2 linked regions of the Macaca fascicularis genome follow. The protein of the gene in region 1 interacts with the protein of each later gene in a pairwise test. Links are inferred from orthologs where the notes say so. Each region holds a gene or a part of one and is shown on either strand. Other genes may lie near its edges.

Evidence for each region. The genes of interacting proteins can lie anywhere in the genome.
Region 2: the proteins of ATF4 (region 1) and JUNB interact in binary tests that used the Homo sapiens proteins (3 or more experiments, as listed by UniProt). The link is inferred for Macaca fascicularis from reciprocal best matches to the Homo sapiens genes ATF4 and JUNB.

Annotation. Positions count from the first base shown.
Region 1 is NC_088384.1:12,124,603-12,128,716, reverse strand, and holds ATF4 (cyclic AMP-dependent transcription factor ATF-4), read left to right. Parts: upstream 1-1,442; 5' UTR 1,443-1,635; intron 1,636-2,239; 5' UTR 2,240-2,331; coding exon 2,332-2,557; intron 2,558-2,658; coding exon 2,659-3,488; 3' UTR 3,489-3,573; downstream 3,574-4,114. UniProt on the Homo sapiens protein: Transcription factor that binds the cAMP response element (CRE) (consensus: 5'-GTGACGT[AC][AG]-3') and displays two biological functions, as regulator of metabolic and redox processes under normal cellular conditions, and as master transcription factor during integrated stress response (ISR).
Region 2 is NC_088393.1:13,179,999-13,183,616, forward strand, and holds JUNB (transcription factor JunB), read left to right. Parts: upstream 1-1,263; 5' UTR 1,264-1,549; coding exon 1,550-2,593; 3' UTR 2,594-3,091; downstream 3,092-3,618. UniProt on the Homo sapiens protein: Transcription factor involved in regulating gene activity following the primary growth factor response. Binds to the DNA sequence 5'-TGA[GC]TCA-3'.

The DNA.
Region 1 (4,114 bases):
CATCCCATTGGGCCTCGGTTTACCATTGGAAAGGACTTGTGGGCGAGGTTGAATGAGCGCAGCAGATGGCCTGTGGTTATTTAGAGCAGTGCTTCCCTGGTGGTTTGATACCACAGCGATCATAGAAATACTTGTGTGGCCCGGTGAAATGGAGGCGGAAACAGTTTCTACCTTCACAGGGCCTGACTGGAGGGGGCTGAGGACGATGCGGAGGTTTCCTGTATTAAAACAGACTACCCCCCCTTCCCAACGCACAACCCCGAGCACGTGGCCGTGGGTTCCCAAGCGCCTCTCCTCCCAGGGCCATGGGCATGACCACTGAAAAGCGGGTTAGGCCGGGGAGTTCAGAACCCGGAGTGAATCGAAACTACCCCAGGTAGATGGCAGCGAAGAAAATTCTGTTCTTAGGGGAACGCAATCTTCGGACACCAGAAGTTCCCCTATGATGCTATTCTGTGGCAGCCTCGCACTTGAGCCGGATGAGAATTGTAAAAACCCAGGTTGGGCGACAGGACGGCGCGTCTTCCCGGCTCCTTTCCAGAGTTTAGACGGAGCCATGCAGACTCAGCTGGCCTTTGAGTGTAGGTGGGCAGGCCCGAGGCGCCCTCTCGAGACCCCTTCAACCTCCCGGGGGCAGCAACACCGTGTCGGCTATGAATGGCGTCTCTGGAAAACTCAGGCTTGGAACAGGTAACCCCGCGGTTTCCGCAGGCCAGAAATTAGCCCCCGCAACCGAAGGACGCGCAGGCTGGGAGTGGCGGCGGGGCCGCCAGTGGCGGACCTCCACTGAGGGCGGCGGGACCCGACCGCAGGGGCTGGGCCCTGAGGCCACTATGGGGTGCGCTAGGCTAAGGTCTCCTGGGGGCAGAAGCCAGTGCGATTGTAGCTGGCCAGCAGGCTGGCCGGCCTGAGGCCTGGCAGAGACCCGAGACCCCGACCCTTCCCACGCGGACTCCGTGATCCCTCTCCCAGCAGCCGCCCACCTGGGGCCCTGAGCCAATAAGAGCTCGAGGTATATATGACTCACCGTGCCTGGGCCAATCAACTTGACGCGCGCTTTTCGCCAGCACCTCGCGCGATAACTTGGCGTCCTCGGCCTTCACAATAAAAACTCTCCGCCGGAAAACGACCTCTCCCCGCCCACCGCGCCGACACCGGAAGCGAGGCGTGTCTGCGAGATCACTCCGCGCTCCGGCGGCGAAGGAAAGAACGGACTCTGATCATAGAAGTAAAGTAGTGCACCTCTCTCGTTTCGTGAGGTCATAAGAACAAACACCTTTTCTCGTCACAGCTACGCGCTGGGCATAAACGGTTGGGGCGTCAAAGGGAGGGAAACGAGCGGGCGGGAGGAGATGGTCACGTGGCCGTGGCGGAAGGATGCGTCGGTGCTGCGTCCCCTTAGAGACGAAGTCTATAAAGGGCCGGCGGGCGGCTGTTGCGGCCATTTCTACTTCGTCCGCCCACAAATGTAGTTTGGTTCGCACGTGTGCGCCTTCCCTCCTCCCCGCCCGCAGGGTCCACGGCCACCATGGCGTATTAGGGGCAGCAGTGCCTGCGGCAGCATTGGCCTTTGCAGCGGCGGCAGCAGCACCAGGCTCTGCAGCGGCACCCCCCCCCAGCGGCTTAAGCCATGGCGTGAGTACCAGGGCGGGTCGTCCAGCTGTGCTCCCTGGGCCGGCGCAGGTTTTGGGTTGGTGGGGTGCGGCCTGGGGCCCAGGGCGGTGCCGCCAAGGAGGAAGCGATTTTACGAGCGCCCGGGACGCGTGGTCTTTGCTTGGGTGTCCCCGAGACGCTCGCGTGCCCGGGATCGGGAAGGCGCATTCTGGTGCCAGGACTGCTTCCACAGGGGCCCTGCCGCCCTCGGACCCCGAATCCCCCAAGGGTCCCAGGGGTCTCGGCTTTCCCCCCCCGCGAAACGTGGCAAGAACCAAGATGGCGGCGGCAGGGCGGCGCCGCGGGCGTGAGTCAAGGGCGGGCGGTGGGCGGGGCGCGGCCGCCCTGGCCGTATTTGGACGCGGGGACGGAGCGCCTTCCTCTTGGTGGCCGGTGGAAGAATCGCCTGGTCTCCGTGAGCGTCCATTTTGTGGAACCTGAGCCGCAGCAGGGAGGGGCGGATGCAACTGCCCCGTTGCCGACTCTGTAGATGGCTGGACTAGAGAAGTCCCGCCTCGTAAGTGGAAAGATGAAATTCTCAGACCAGCTAACCTCTAATGGGAGTTGGCTTCTGATTCCCATTCAGGCTTCTCACGGCATTCAGCAGCAGCGTTGCTGTAACCGACAAAGACATCTTCGAATTAAGCACATTCCTCGATTCCAGCAAAGCACCGCAACATGACCGAAATGAGCTTCCTGAGCAGCGAGGTGTTGGTGGGGGACTTGATGTCCCCCTTCGACCAGTCGGGTTTGGGGGCTGAAGAAAGCCTAGGTCTCTTAGATGACTACCTGGAGGTGGCCAAGCACTTCAAACCTCATGGGTTCTCCAGCGACAAGGCTAAGGCGGGCTCCTCCGAATGGCTGGCTGTGGATGGGTTGGTCAGTCCCTCCAACAACGGCAAGGGTGAGTGGGCCACCACCACATCGTCTGGGTGGGATCTAGGGTTAGGGGCCTGTTATCTTTGTATCTGACTCACTTGGCCCTGTCATTCAAATCTTTTGCAGAGGATGCCTTCTCCGGGACAGATTGGATGTTGGAGAAAATGGATTTGAAGGAGTTCGACTTTGATGCCCTGTTGGGTATAGATGACCTGGAAACCATGCCAGATGACCTTTTGACCACGTTGGATGACACGTGTGATCTCTTTGCCCCCCTAGTCCAGGAGACTAACAAGGAGCCCCCCCAGACGGTGAACCCAATTGGCCATCTCCCAGAAAGTTTAACAAAACCCGACCAGGTTGCCCCCTTCACCTTCTTGCAACCTCTTCCCCTTTCCCCAGGGGTCCTGTCCTCCACTCCAGATCATTCCTTTAGTTTAGAGCTGGGCAGTGAAGTGGATATCACTGAAGGAGATAGGAAGCCAGATGCCACTGCTTATGTTGCCATGATCCCTCCGTGCATAAAGGAGGAAGACACCCCCTCAGATAATGATAGTGGCATCTGTATGAGCCCGGAGTCCTATCTGGGCTCTCCTCAGCATAGCCCGTCTACCAGGGGCTCTCCAAATAGGAGCCTCCCATCTCCAGGTGTTCTCTGTGGCTCTGCCCGCCCCAAACCTTACGACCCTCCTGGAGAGAAGATGGTAGAAGCAAAAGTAAAGGGTGAGAAACTGGATAAGAAGCTGAAAAAAATGGAGCAAAACAAGACAGCAGCCACTAGGTACCGCCAGAAGAAGAGGGCGGAGCAGGAGGCCCTCACTGGCGAGTGCAAAGAGCTGGAAAAGAAGAATGAGGCTTTAAAAGAGAGGGCGGATTCCCTGGCCAAGGAGATCCAGTACCTGAAAGATTTGATAGAAGAGGTCCGCAAGGCAAGGGGGAAGAAAAGGGTCCCCTAGTTGAGGGTAGTCAGGAGCGTCAGTGTGCTTGTACATAGAGTCTCTGCTGTTGCTGTGTGTTGGAATAAATTATTTTGTAGGGAAAGTACTTGTGTGGATTCTTTTTCTGGCAAATTAGCCGAGTGAGGCGCCACCCACCCATCCCAAACTGGTCATAACATTCCTTGTGAGATCTGGGGAGGAGGGCAGTCCAGGACTGAAGATGGGTACCCAGAGTGGGAACTGCTCGCCCTGCTAGGTGTAAGCCACGATGCCTGATGACTCATGGGGCCATACAGCCAGATAGTTGGCCAACTGTAGCAAGTTGGGTCCTTTACCCAGAGGTGAGTTCGCTGGTTGTGTAGGGAGGAGGCTGGAGCTCTCTGGGAGGTTGGGAGGGAGGGACAGCCTGGGCCTCCACCTATTTATTCAAGAGGGCTTCATGCCAACAGCTGTCGCCTGAAACCCTGGATAAGCTTGCACAGTCCTTGAGATAAGCACACAAGATTAGTTTTCACTTGTTACCCTGAGTTCTGTAGAAGCGTGTTCCTGAAGAAAGAAATGGCTCCTTTTCGGAATTGATGCTGAAGCAGGACAGGAGCTGAGGGTTGGCCTCCATTTCTCCTTATGGGGTGGAAGGATGACAT
Region 2 (3,618 bases), on another chromosome or scaffold:
GGGGCTCGCACGCCCAGGTTCCTCTTCCGAGGCGCAGGATGCGGCGGGACCCAGGGCGGGGCGCACGGTCCCGTAGGATCCAAGTGACGGAGACAGGGCCGGGCTCCTTCCCCCGGGGCTGTTGCCACACTTCCTGCCTCGGCGCTCTTTCCCCAGCCTGTTTCTAAGGAAGGGAGTGGGGTTGGGCGACCGCGCCCCAGCCGTCGGGCTGGGTCCAGGCTCCAGGAGCCGACACGGTGTCGGGCAAAGCCCAGGGTCAATAGGGGAGAGTTTTAGGATGGGGGACAGAGAATACAGATGCCTAGGAGGTTACCCACGAGGGGGAGCACCAGTCGTGGAAGATCCAGCAGTCCTGGTGCGCAGGACCCTCAAAGCCCCCTCCTCGCATGTCAACTGAGTACCCTCTTATTGTCTTCTCTGCTCCGAAGATGTGTCCGGACCCTTCTGACTCTCTCCTTCATCCGGGCTTCGCAGATGACCCCAGTGGTCACCAGCTTCTGGCAGACTTGTCTCCATCTTCTACCCTGCATATTTTACCTGCCTCAGTGTACCGCAGGACGCTTACTCGCTTTCTGCATACCTAGATTTCCCCTAATTCCTCCTTCCCAATTACGGGAGAGCCCTCAGACCTTCCCATGGGCTCCTGGACCCTACTCATTTCTTTCAATTTAATGGGTCGTGCAGCTCCGCCCACTCACCCCTTTTGATCTCTCCCCTCCTCCATCCTGTGAAAATTCCAGCCCCGCATCCTTCTATGCTCGGGACCCCCAGTCAATTCCTGGGTCAGATGTCTCCTTACCCCTCCCGATTTACCGTGCTTAACCCTCATTCCTGCTTTTTGGGGTCTCCCAATGAATTGTCCTACCCCTCTCGTATTCTGGGTACCTCAGGGGTTTCTTCGCACACCCTGAGATCCTCACCCTACTTGCTGCGTACCAGGTCCTGGTATTTGTCCCAGTGGACTTCAATGAAATCATCCTCCTCCCTGAAACCCCTCACTCATGTGCCTGGGCCCCCAGGCCTCCTTCCATGCGTACCCCGGGGTCCTTTGAGCCCCTCCCCCTGCAGGCCCGCCGAGCCACCCGGCCCGTGGCCGCTGTTTACAAGGACACGCGCTTCCTGACAGTGACGCGAGCCGCCTCCTCCCCTTCCCCACGCTCGAAGAGGGGGGCGCGGGGGCCCGGCTTCGGCGACGGCCAATCGGAGCGCACTTCCGTGGCTGACTAGCGCGGTATAAAGGCGTGTGGCTCAGGCTGAGCGGCTGGGACCTTGAGAGCGGCCAGGCCAGCTTCGGAGCCAGCAGGGAGCTGGGAGCTGGGGGAAACGACGCCAGGAAAGCTATCGCGCCGGAGAGGGCGACGGGGGCTCGGGAAGCCTGACAGATCTTTTGCGCACAGCTGCCGGCTGGCTGCTCCCCGCCCGCGCCAGCCCCCGAGAACGCGCGACCAGGCACCCAGTCCGGCCACCGCAGCGGAGAGCTCGCCGCTCGCTGCAGCGAGGCCCGGGGCGGCCCCGCAGGGACCCTCCCCAGACCGCCTGGGCCGCCCGGATGTGCACTAAAATGGAACAGCCCTTCTACCACGACGACTCATACACAGCTACGGGATACGGCCGGGCCCCTGGTGGCCTCTCTCTACACGACTACAAACTCCTGAAACCGAGCCTGGCGGTCAACCTGGCCGACCCCTACCGGAGTCTCAAAGCGCCTGGGGCTCGGGGACCCGGCCCAGAGGGCGGCGGTGGCGGCAGCTACTTTTCTGGTCAGGGCTCGGACACCGGCGCGTCTCTCAAGCTCGCCTCTTCGGAGCTGGAACGCCTGATCGTCCCCAACAGCAACGGCGTGATCACGACGACGCCTACACCCCCGGGACAGTACTTTTACCCCCGCGGGGGTGGCAGCGGTGGAGGTGCGGGGGGCGCAGGGGGTGGCGTCACCGAGGAGCAGGAGGGCTTCGCCGACGGCTTTGTCAAAGCCCTGGACGATCTGCACAAGATGAACCACGTGACACCCCCCAACGTGTCCCTGGGCGCTAGCGGGGGGCCCCCGGCTGGGCCCGGGGGCGTCTACGCCGGCCCGGAGCCACCTCCCGTTTACACCAACCTCAGCAGCTACTCCCCAGCCTCTGCGTCCTCGGGAGGCGCCGGGGCTGCCGTCGGGACCGGGAGCTCATACCCGACGGCCACCATCAGCTACCTCCCACACGCGCCACCCTTCGCCGGTGGCCACCCGGCGCAGCTGGGCTTGGGCCGCAGCGCCTCCACCTTTAAGGAGGAACCGCAGACCGTGCCGGAGGCGCGCAGCCGGGACGCCACGCCGCCGGTGTCCCCCATCAACATGGAAGACCAAGAGCGCATCAAAGTGGAGCGCAAGCGGCTGCGGAACCGGCTGGCGGCCACCAAGTGCCGGAAGCGGAAGCTGGAGCGCATCGCGCGCCTGGAGGACAAGGTGAAGACGCTCAAGGCCGAGAACGCGGGGCTGTCGAGTACCGCCGGCCTCCTCCGGGAGCAGGTGGCCCAGCTCAAACAGAAGGTCATGACCCACGTCAGCAACGGCTGTCAGCTGCTGCTTGGGGTCAAGGGACACGCCTTCTGAGCGCCCCCTGTCCCCTTACGGACACCCCCTCGCTTGGACGGCTGGGCGCACGTCTCCCACTGGGGTCCAGGGAGCAGGCGGTGGGCACCCACCCTGGGACCTGGGGGCGCCGCAAACCACACTGAACTCCCGCCCTGCGCCCAGTCCTTCCACCTCGACGTTTACAAGCCCCCCCTTCCACATTTTTTTGTATGTTTTTTTTCTGCTGGAAACAGACTCGATTCATATTGAATATAATATATTTGTGTATTTAACAGGGAGGGGAGGAGGGGGCGATCGCGGCGGAGCTGGCCCCGCCGCCCGGTACTCAAGCCCGCGGGGACATTGGGAAGGGGACCCCCGCCCCCTGCCCTCCCCTCTCTGCAACGTACTGTGGAAAAGAAACACGCACTTAGTCTCTAAAGAGTTTATTTTAAGACGTGTTTGTGTTTGTGTGTGTGTTTGTTCTTTTTATTGAATCTATTTAAGTAAAAAAAAAAAAAATTTGTTCTTTATTAATTTCTGTTGTCTTTTTTTCCAAGCTGGGAGGGCGGAGGGAAAAAAAAGCACTGGTGTGCCCCCAGCTCAGTGCTGTTGGTGGCTCGGTCCTGTATGTGTCCCCCTCGTCGGCTCTGCGCAGGCATCTTGTGGTCCCAACCCGGGAGTCCCACCCTTCCCGCGTCCCCGGATCTCCAGGGTTGGATGGTTGGGGCGCGGGACGCAGTCCAGGGACACAGTAGCTGAAGGCAGGGCGCTGGGGGCGAGACGCGGAGCGCGCAGGCGCGGCCCCGCCCAGCAGTGCGCGCCGGGGCTTTCCCCGCTGACGCAGCGGAAGCGCTGCCCATACAAGGACCGATTCTGCCCAGTGACGCGACCGCGGTCTCTGGGCAGATTCCGGGAATCCCCTCCCCCGCTCTGCCGGGCAGGGCCGCAGCGCCGGGAAGGGGGCCGGGATTTTCCCGGGCAGGCGGCTGCCCGGGCACGGAAAGCCCCAGGCCTGGGTCCAGAGGGCCCGCGGTGGGCGGGCAGCGCTCCTGGGCCCCGGG